Linked DNA regions of Arabidopsis thaliana. The protein of the gene in region 1 interacts with the protein of each later gene in a pairwise test. Each region holds a gene or a part of one and is shown in the gene's direction. Other genes may lie near its edges. The genes, in order: TRB1 and AT2G17540.

Region 1 (5,711 bases):
ATTCCTTCCGCTGCACCATTAATCATATAAAACCATATCATTTTCTCAAACATATATTGTTGACAAATCAAAGAGAATTTGGTGACGATCGACTAAATAACTCATATGAATAATGGAAACGCTTCAACTGAAATTTTTGTTAAATAATCACAAACGCTTTAAAAACGAGTTTTGTAGATTAATAAGAAATACAACCCTAATTTAAACTAAATCGTATAGTTCATCACTATCGGTGAAACATAAATTCATTATCCTAAAGACTAAACATAATTTTACTGCTAATAGAACACAACTATATAACAAAATCTAAATGAAAAGAAAAAAGCATACGCCAATTTGGAGAGCTCGAGACACAAAATTCGACTCCGGGAAGCTGATCTTTAACTGGAAATGGTGCAAAATCATCGGTCTTTGTTGCCATATCTCACTCGCTTCGAGAAGGGCTACTCTCTTTGTGATGAGAGCTGTAAATTCAAACTAAGGCTTTGCTTAAAACGGATTCAAAAGTGCTAAGTAATCGTTAGGCGGGCAACTTTGTTGACTCTTTCTTGCTTTTTTTACTTTCTGTCTTGTGTTCTCGTGCACGTAATTAACACTAATGCTATACGTAGAAAAATGAACCGGATTAAACCACTGGTGTGACTTAACCAGAATTGTCCACTTGTATATTCATGTGAAGAATATGATGTTTAATATTACAAAGTCTTTATAAGTAGCAAATTATTCTCATCTTAATGCCAAAAAAGTATACAACTAACTCCATCCACCACTTAAACATTCTCTTTAACCAATATCAAGAATTATAACTAATGACTAATTGGTATGACTTATTGTTGGCTTAATGAAAATAAGATAAAACAATAGGATTATCAGTTAAAAAATCCAGAAAGATTTAAGGAGGTTTATTTTGAAATAAATTTGATGAATTATTGTTGCTGACTTGAATTATTATCAAGTACATATTTCATATCATAAATAATTTTGGGCTCATGAGCTAAAAATGTTAATTTGGTAATTTAATAATTTATTTTGGATGGAACTAATTGCTAATGTTTTATTTTGACTGTAATTTGAAATTATTTGGACAATTATTAATTTAAACCCAAATATGAAATTAGTTTGTATTATAAAATCATAAATATCTAGGTGAAATTAGAGAAGGTTCTTTCTTTTTACTGAACATCTGCAGAAAATAAACCTAGTAAAACAAATCAACTAAAACTATGTTCAACGAACTTTTCTTTTTTTTACGAAATGATCTTTATATTTCAAATTTTGGAGAAATTCAAAAATAAATAAATTATAAAACTTTTTAATGTGTTTAAAACAAGTGTATAGATTTGGAAAACTCTCAAAATATCGCAACTACCATGTCCACAATTTTTTTTTAATTAGTGGTACAGTCAACTAGATAATTTTCAGAAAAAATAAACAATAGAGAAAATTCTATGGATAAAATGAAAATAGCATTTTTGAAAAAAAATATCACAACTACCACCCCACCACACATTTCTGAATTATATCTAGCAACATATTTGTATTTTATGTTCAAAATACCACTTAATCATCAAATTTTTAATCACCACCAAAACTTTCAAACATAAACCAAATTGTTCGTGTAAATATGATCTGGGTCACTGCGTATTAGTTTTGATAATATATTTTCTTGACAATCATATTAACACTTCATTTGGGGAATTTGATATTTTCTTTATCATTATTAAAAGTTGAATTTGTAAATATTTAGACAATTTATAATCTTCAGAATATAATAACTAGCGTAAACAAAAACGCGTTTTAAGGCCGTTTGTAAAAAACGCGTTTTAAGGCCGTTTGTGAAAAAACGCGTTTAAAGCTTAATTGGTCTAAGCGGTTTGCCGCATCAGAATTGACGGAGGTCCGTTACTCTGAATCCTTGTATTCGCATTAACCCTAACTTTTTCTGCTTCCCAAGCGTCTCGAAATCTGAATCCAGAGATTAAACAAAAATTGGTATTGCGAATGATCGATTCTTCTTCCTCTAAACTCTGATTCCTGGTGAATTCATCTGTTTCTTCTTTCTCGATTGTGTATATTCTCAGCATGAGATTAGGCTTCATTCTGAAAGAACGGATTTTTCTAGGGTTTGAGTTTCGGCATCTTTCAGTGATGTGAAGTTGGTGTTTGCTATTGCGTCTTAGTTTCTGAACTATTGCTGCGGTATAGTTTGATAATCTATGTTAGGGTTTCCTCGGAACAGGGAATTAGGGTTTTACTATTCTGTGGTATTTGATGATGAATTGTGAGCTACAACTGAAGAAAAAGTTTACATTTTTATGTAGAAACTTTAGTTCTGATTGGTTTCGTGACATTTGATATGTATTGTTGCAGAACGGACTTGCTTTGACACAGCAGACCGTAAATCGGGATGGGTGCTCCTAAGCAGAAATGGACTCAAGAAGAAGAGTCAGCTTTAAAGTCTGGAGTTATAAAGCATGGACCTGGTAAATGGCGCACAATTCTCAAAGATCCTGAATTTAGCGGAGTCTTGTACCTGCGTTCCAATGTTGATCTTAAGGTCATGATTACTTCTTATCCTTTTTGTCAGCTTTGATAATGCTACTGTATTTTGTTTGTGATTTTATCTGACTGGGAGATGGTTTGTTTATTGTATTGGGACAGGACAAATGGAGAAACATGAGTGTCATGGCAAATGGCTGGGGATCGCGCGAAAAGTCTAGGTTAGCTGTTAAAAGGACGTTCTCCCTTCCTAAACAGGAAGAGAACTCACTAGCCCTAACCAATTCTTTGCAAAGTGATGAAGAAAATGTGGATGCGACCTCTGGACTCCAAGTTTCTTCTAATCCTCCTCCAAGGAGACCTAATGTAAGGTTAGAAATGTGTCTATTTTGTTTCTTGTATTGAAGAGGAGTTGCTTTGTTGTATCTCTCTCGCTGGTATTTCTGAAGTTGGATTACATCTCAAAATGTATGGTTTGCCGTCACTTTTTATTCTGTGCAAGTCGATAAGTGTTGGATTACATTCATGTGATATGGGTTTGTTTTCACACCTCTGTTTAAGTTGTCTTCACTGGCTTAGTACATTTCTCCTCCTTCTTACTATTATCATGCGAGCCGTTTGCTCAATCCTATCACTGTGGCTTTATAATTGTGAAATTATGATGAGGATTTGTAAAGTCCCACTTACACGTAGATGTTTGTATCACTCAAATCTTTTATTATAGACAAATTGTAACTTTTAAAAACGTTGCAGGTTGGATAGCCTTATAATGGAAGCAATAGCTACCCTGAAAGAACCTGGTGGCTGTAACAAAACAACAATTGGTGCCTACATTGAGGTATTCTGTTTTCGTTCTTGCATCTTTTTTTTCTTTTCTCATAGACAATATGTATTATTAAATTGTTACTCTCAGCTAAATCGCATCGTGTTACATTTCAATTTGAATGATCCTCAGTGGGTTGATATGTTGTCAACTAGAACCTGTGAAGCATTGCGGATGAAAACCAAAATATAGCCTTTGGTTGTGTCAATAGAATATATTCCTCAATATCAATATAGGCAACGGATGTGGCAGTTTTATTGCAAGGCAATGGGTGACATCTTTATCTTCTCCTCTCCTGAATAGACGAATGTGCATTGAATATCCTGACTGAAACTAAGCTGAAAGGGCTAGAAATATTTCTGTAATTACGAGATTTATTGTGGTGGCATCTACTTAAGTCGATATAATTATGAGAATATCGTAAGAGTAGATTCTGTAGTTAATTCAGAAACACGCCAATGACATAAATATTTTCGTCTACTTATGTGATTCAAGCATGGGAAATATTGAGTTCAACTTGTACGATTACTGCTTTGAAGATTCTTTGTCTAAGTTCCTTGTAAAAGACTGATTTAGAGGACTGACTGTACCCGTGTTCCTTTTTTTTTTTTGTGTAGGATCAATATCATGCTCCACCAGACTTCAAACGCTTGTTGTCTACCAAGCTAAAGTACTTGACATCTTGCGGGAAACTTGTGAAGGTAAGAATTCCTACATTCATTTAATGCTTTTGAGTGCATATATTTTTGGTCTTTTGAATAGTATGTATGACTTTTTGTGCAAATCAATTTAGTTCATGGATGTCAGTAGAACAGAGACATATCCATTATTCACTGCAACTTGCGAGGTTTATTGATCTGGGCTTTCTCTTTTACAGGTTAAACGTAAGTACAGAATTCCAAACTCCACTCCCTTGTCTTCCCACAGGAGAAAAGGTCTGGGGGTGTTTGGAGGAAAACAGAGGACTTCTTCTTTGCCTTCACCTAAAACAGACATAGATGAAGTGAATTTTCAGACAAGGTCACAGATTGATACAGAGATAGCCAGAATGAAGAGTATGAACGTACATGAGGCGGCAGCAGTTGCAGCACAGGCAGTAGCAGAGGCAGAAGCTGCCATGGCAGAGGCTGAGGAAGCTGCAAAGGAAGCGGAGGCAGCAGAAGCCGAAGCAGAAGCAGCTCAAGCTTTCGCTGAGGAAGCTTCAAAGACATTGAAAGGAAGAAACATCTGCAAAATGGTAAAAAAAAGAAAAAAACACCCATATTCTTTTATATCACAAGACATTATATCTATGAGAGAACTTTGAAAATCTCAAAATGCTTTTGTTGAAAATGTGATTCGACAGATGATCCGTGCCTGAGGTAATGGAAAGCGAGAGAAGAAGGAGACTAAATGTGAAGAGAGAGTAGAGAGAAGCCTAGTGTTTGTGTTGATCATTCTCTTTACTTGGGAAGTTGTTTTTTAGTAGTAAGCAATCAAATATGTTTGTCAGTATGTCGTCGCTCTGACTCTTTTGATTCCTGCACAACTTTTGGGAAAAAATGTTTTATTTGGCTCTTCTCACTCTCCAATATACATACAACTATCGTTAGTAATGTGTATAATTTATAGACCGATCTATCTATGCACTATCATGCTTATCGCCAATGAGCATTTTGATTATGTATGTATTATCAATTAATAGTAGTACTGTTTTTTTAAGATATAAAAGCACAATGACTTTGGGACACTATATGGATCGTTTTCGGGTTCAGAAAAGGAATTAAATCCTTTTAAATCCCCTGTAAATCTTTTAAAAACTCTTGTAAATCTATTTTCTATTAAAATTATTTTTTCTGGGGAAAATGATCTTTTGGAAGAAAAAAAAGTTTGGCGGGAAAATTTTTGTCGGATTTTTTTGGTCGAAAAATTATCTTCGGAATAATTTTGATAGGAAAAATCATTATTATATTTTTTAAACCTAAAATATTTTCAAATAAGAGTAAAATGACCATAAAAAATCAAAAGATGGGATAAATGAAAATAAATTACAAAAAATGATAGAATTGAAAAGGAGTAGTTTGAAAGGGCATTCCTAACAATTTCTCCCGATTATATATGTAGTTGGGATTATTAGGTGATTGACAGATATATATATAATCATCCGAAATTTGACATACTAAAATAATTTGTAATCATTGATATTAAAAATAAAAAGACCATGGTATTTTTACTATAATTGTGATTCTGTAAAGAAAATAATACTATGCCACTCACAGTCACTGCATAGCCAACATAGGATTAGAACCAAACCGAGTCAATCCAAAATTGTTCACGGAGCACGGTAATTACATCATGGTTAAGCTTTAACCAAAAACATTTCAGGCTGTTACTAAACCAAAATTTTAAA
Region 2 (3,929 bases), on another chromosome or scaffold:
GAAATTTTTTTTATAGACAAGTTTTAGGAAATAAAAGCAAATTTAAAAACTTTCAGAAATTGGGGGCTTATACTGGGGCTTTTATAATATTGGGTACATTTTGGGCCATAAATTAGAGAAAGAGCACATTATGATTGGGCTTATGAAGATAGGCAGTTTTTGGGAAATGAATTGACCAAATTGCCCCTGCGATTTCACTCCTTCTTCTCCTAAATTGTTTTTGCAGAATCTTCTCTGAATTGTTTTTGCAGAGCCTCATATTGGATCGATTCCTAACCTGCTTCAATGGATGATGTATTAAGTACAGAGATTGATTATCCTATTTCTCTACTTAATCAATGTTTCTTTGTACAAGACAATATATACACAAAAGATGTATTTACGGAAACAAAATCGATAGAGACAAAAATTAGAAAATCTGTTAACAACGTTTCATCACCATACAATTCAGATAAACCCCAATAAAATCAGTTAAAAGCTTTTTGATGGAAGAAAGCTAAACCCTAAGAAGATATTATATAGGGAACCCAAATATACTAATCTTAAATAATTGGAGTCGATTAAAATTTTCAATTGTTTCTTATCCCTCTTTGAAATTGAAGCAAGAGAGGATGAAATTAATTCAGATCAAACAATTCAAATTCAAAAAAGCTATGGAAGATTACCACCTGCATCGTCGAGGAAGAAGATTGGCCAAGCATAGATCTGAATTTTGTAAGGTGATGGAGAAGCAATGGACATCAATGGTGAGTTTAGAGGCAATAGATTCCATGCCATTAGAGAAAGAGAAAGAGAGAGAAATAATCGCACATTTCTGAGATCGATTGATATTGATGAATTCTCCTCAATTAGATTGAAGGTACAAGGAGAAGAAACTCAATTAGATTGAAGGATAAAACAGTCATCCATATAATATAAAAGTACCTAAATTTGTAAGAAACATGAGATGTTCCTATATCTACAAAAGCACAGACTTTAATATGCTAATCCCATAAATGATCCGGCTTATAGTTGCCAAGAAAAAGAAGAAGTTGCAGGCTTGTTTGTATATATTTTTGCTGATGGGCCTAAAACAATTAGAGACTAATGAAGCGTATGAAAATGAATTGTAAAACTCAGAGGCAAGTGGAAGAGTGGGAGTTCATTCATTATACGCTCATGGAGCTTACTATAGATAGAGAGCATTTCTTGAGTCGGCCAACACAAATCAGACTTCTTCCAATAAATTATGGTGGTTTACTTCATCAGAAAAATTCTCTTGCAGGATTGTTGACGTCAAGTTTTCGAACCATCGATCCTTTCTTGTGGTAAGCAGACTCCTTTTTGTTTTTTTTGATAAAGAAAAATGGTTGAGTTTATGATAGTTTGTGCTTCCTCTTGAAACACTTTTGCTACCAAATGTGCCATGAACTTGCCAAAAAGGCCTCCAGTACATCTATGAAGTCATTTTTTTAATTTCTACAAATAGAAAGTCTACATCTGTAATACTACTGTTAACTTATTAATTAGCTCCGTTAAGAAATAAAAAAACAACAAAAAAACAAAGAGTTATTGACGGCCGTTATTACAGTTTAGTAATAAAACGAAAAGCAAATAGTAGTTGTCAAGTTAATTTTCTGGTTTACTTTTCCATGGAAAAGGTAAATGTAAAAGAAAGAAACGTAAGTTAATTTAGATAGAAGTAAAAAAATAACAATTAAGAGATAATTAAAACTGATATTCGTAGGGTTTACATATAAAAACGAAAAACGGATCAGAGAGAGCGATGGCAACAATACAAAACAAATCTCCTCTCTTCTCTATCTTCTTCCCCATTTCTCTGAAAACCCTAATTTCTCCATCTCTCAATCTCTCTGTGTTTGTATCTCTCATCTCTGTTTGAGAGATGATAAGGTAACTTCAAAGCATCCTCGTGAATTCATCTTGTAATTTCAGGTACTCTATAAGGAACTCTCTAGCTTGATTCTTAAACTCTGAGCAATTGTCTTTGATCAATCACCACCTTATAATTGATAAATTCTCTCCTTTATGATTTTTATGAGAATTTGTTTGATCAAGTGTTGATAATTTGGTTTTAAGGATTAAATATTTTGATCTGTGATGTTTTTGAGGATTTGGTCTTTGTTTGAAGTATTGATTGTTACAGATTCTATAATGTGATCCTGATTTAGGATTTTAATTCGAGATAAATGGCGACAAATGCGTGCCTTGAGTCCGATTCGCTTCTACCTCCACGGAAGCGTTTACTCGCCGGATTCAAGAACCAGAACTCGAGAATCAGCAATGAATCTCCGAGTCCTCCTTTCGCTTCTTCGTCCTCGTCTACTACAACTTCAAATGGTTCCTCTGCTTCAGCAGTTGTGCACACTCATCATCTCGACCATCTACTCAATGACCAGACTCGGTCCCCGGAAGAGCTTGCTCAGGCGTCGAAAGCAACCGCTGCTTTAGCGGTTAAGGTTGCAAAGGCGGCGAGAGCTACTGCTAATGAGAAGGCCATCATTGCTTCTAAAGCAGTGGCTGCAGCCAAGAATGCGTTGGAATTGTTTGCTTCTTTTCCCGCAGCTGAGACGGTTTCTTGTAAAGAGCCTAGGTTGATTCGAGCTATAAACAATTCTCCTAGAGTCTTGACGGATTGTTCTGGTCACAGAAACAAGAAGCAAAAGACTCTGACTAGTACTATGAACGATGGGAATGATGTTGCTGGTGTTGTGGATTCAGATGACGGAACCAGAGTAAACGGGAAGCTGCTCTTATGCGATAACACGCTAAAGGAGAAAACAGAGGAAGAGAGTAGCTCATTAGGGAAAAGAAGAGGAAGAGTGAAGCTCCCTTTGAGCATGTGTGCCTACAAGGATCAAGAAAACGGTATCACATTAGAGGAAAACAATCTAAGTGTAAGTAAGTCGGAAGGTTATAATGGTGGTGTGGCTCAGGTTATAGAACGACCATCATGGAAGTGTCAGGACTTAAAGTCACCGGAATGTGTGAAGCAGAACAAAGTTGTACGTTCATAGTCTTCTTATATGTATTTACACCTAAAAGAGGTAAGAAGGTGCAGATTCAACAGCATTGTCATTTTCAGTACAATCTTAATGTTGTTTATTTTTATCTTGTTTTGCTTTTTTGGGTAATGTGTTTGATTTTATGTTGTATATTTTGGGAATAATATCTAGATACATAGATTTTGTATATGTATGTTGGTTGTTTAATCAGTGTAAGTGTTGTTATTAAAGTGATGACTTTTTGTTGTTTGCCTTTATGTTTCTTTTGTTTTAAGTCATTTTTCTCCCAGTGCTAAGACTAATTTATCTTCGAAAATACTTGTGTTCTTTCTTTGTGTTGTTTAAATAAAAATAATAATTTCAATAAGATCTATATTAATTTCAAGAAGAGAATTTTCACTAATTACAATAACAAAAAGTTTTTTTTTTGATTTTTGATTGTGTGGCTACAACTGGGTCACGTGCAGATTCACGTGAATATTCGTAGTTGGAGGAGATATAACGTCACAATTTTTTTCCTTTTGCAAATGTCTAAAGACAAAGCAACCCACAACAAAAATGATCCGTCACCGTCACGTTCACATGTGAAGTGAAACCCATCTTGCCATTTAGATTGTTTAGATAATTACATTTTTGTTAGTGTTAATCCTTGGGTGTCAATAAGATGATGATATCTATTGGTTCATGATTTTGTTTTGTAGTGATTCATAAATCTTATATCTATTGGTTATTGGTAGACTTGTTATTGAAAGTGAAGAAATCTTCCAAATTAAACAGCCGTTTATGTGATTTAAAAGAAACAGAATTTTCGTATTCATTCAGGTTCTTTGAGGTCTTCGACTCTCACTATCACATGTAGCCATTAGAGCTCATCTTGATCTTTTATCCTGAACTCAACGAACTATTCTTACTTCGGTCTCTTTT

The links.
Region 2: the proteins of TRB1 (region 1) and AT2G17540 interact in a two-hybrid assay, tested with the Arabidopsis thaliana proteins (one large-scale study listed by BioGRID).

Annotation. Positions count from the first base shown.
Region 1 is NC_003070.9:18,493,410-18,499,120, reverse strand, and holds TRB1 (telomere repeat binding factor 1), read left to right. Parts: upstream 1-1,802; 5' UTR 1,803-1,992; exon of another isoform or gene 1,993-2,199; intron 2,200-2,370; 5' UTR 2,371-2,407; coding exon 2,408-2,557; intron 2,558-2,661; coding exon 2,662-2,870; intron 2,871-3,252; coding exon 3,253-3,337; intron 3,338-3,939; coding exon 3,940-4,023; intron 4,024-4,199; coding exon 4,200-4,559; intron 4,560-4,667; coding exon 4,668-4,682; 3' UTR 4,683-5,050; downstream 5,051-5,711. Other genes in the region: AT1G49960 (Xanthine/uracil permease family protein), read right to left, coding at 1-10, 331-421. UniProt on the Arabidopsis thaliana protein: Binds preferentially double-stranded telomeric repeats.
Region 2 is NC_003071.7:7,629,750-7,633,678, reverse strand, and holds AT2G17540 (uncharacterized protein), read left to right. Parts: upstream 1-1,752; 5' UTR 1,753-1,935; intron 1,936-2,131; exon of another isoform or gene 2,132-2,146; 5' UTR 2,147-2,189; coding exon 2,190-3,017; 3' UTR 3,018-3,318; downstream 3,319-3,929.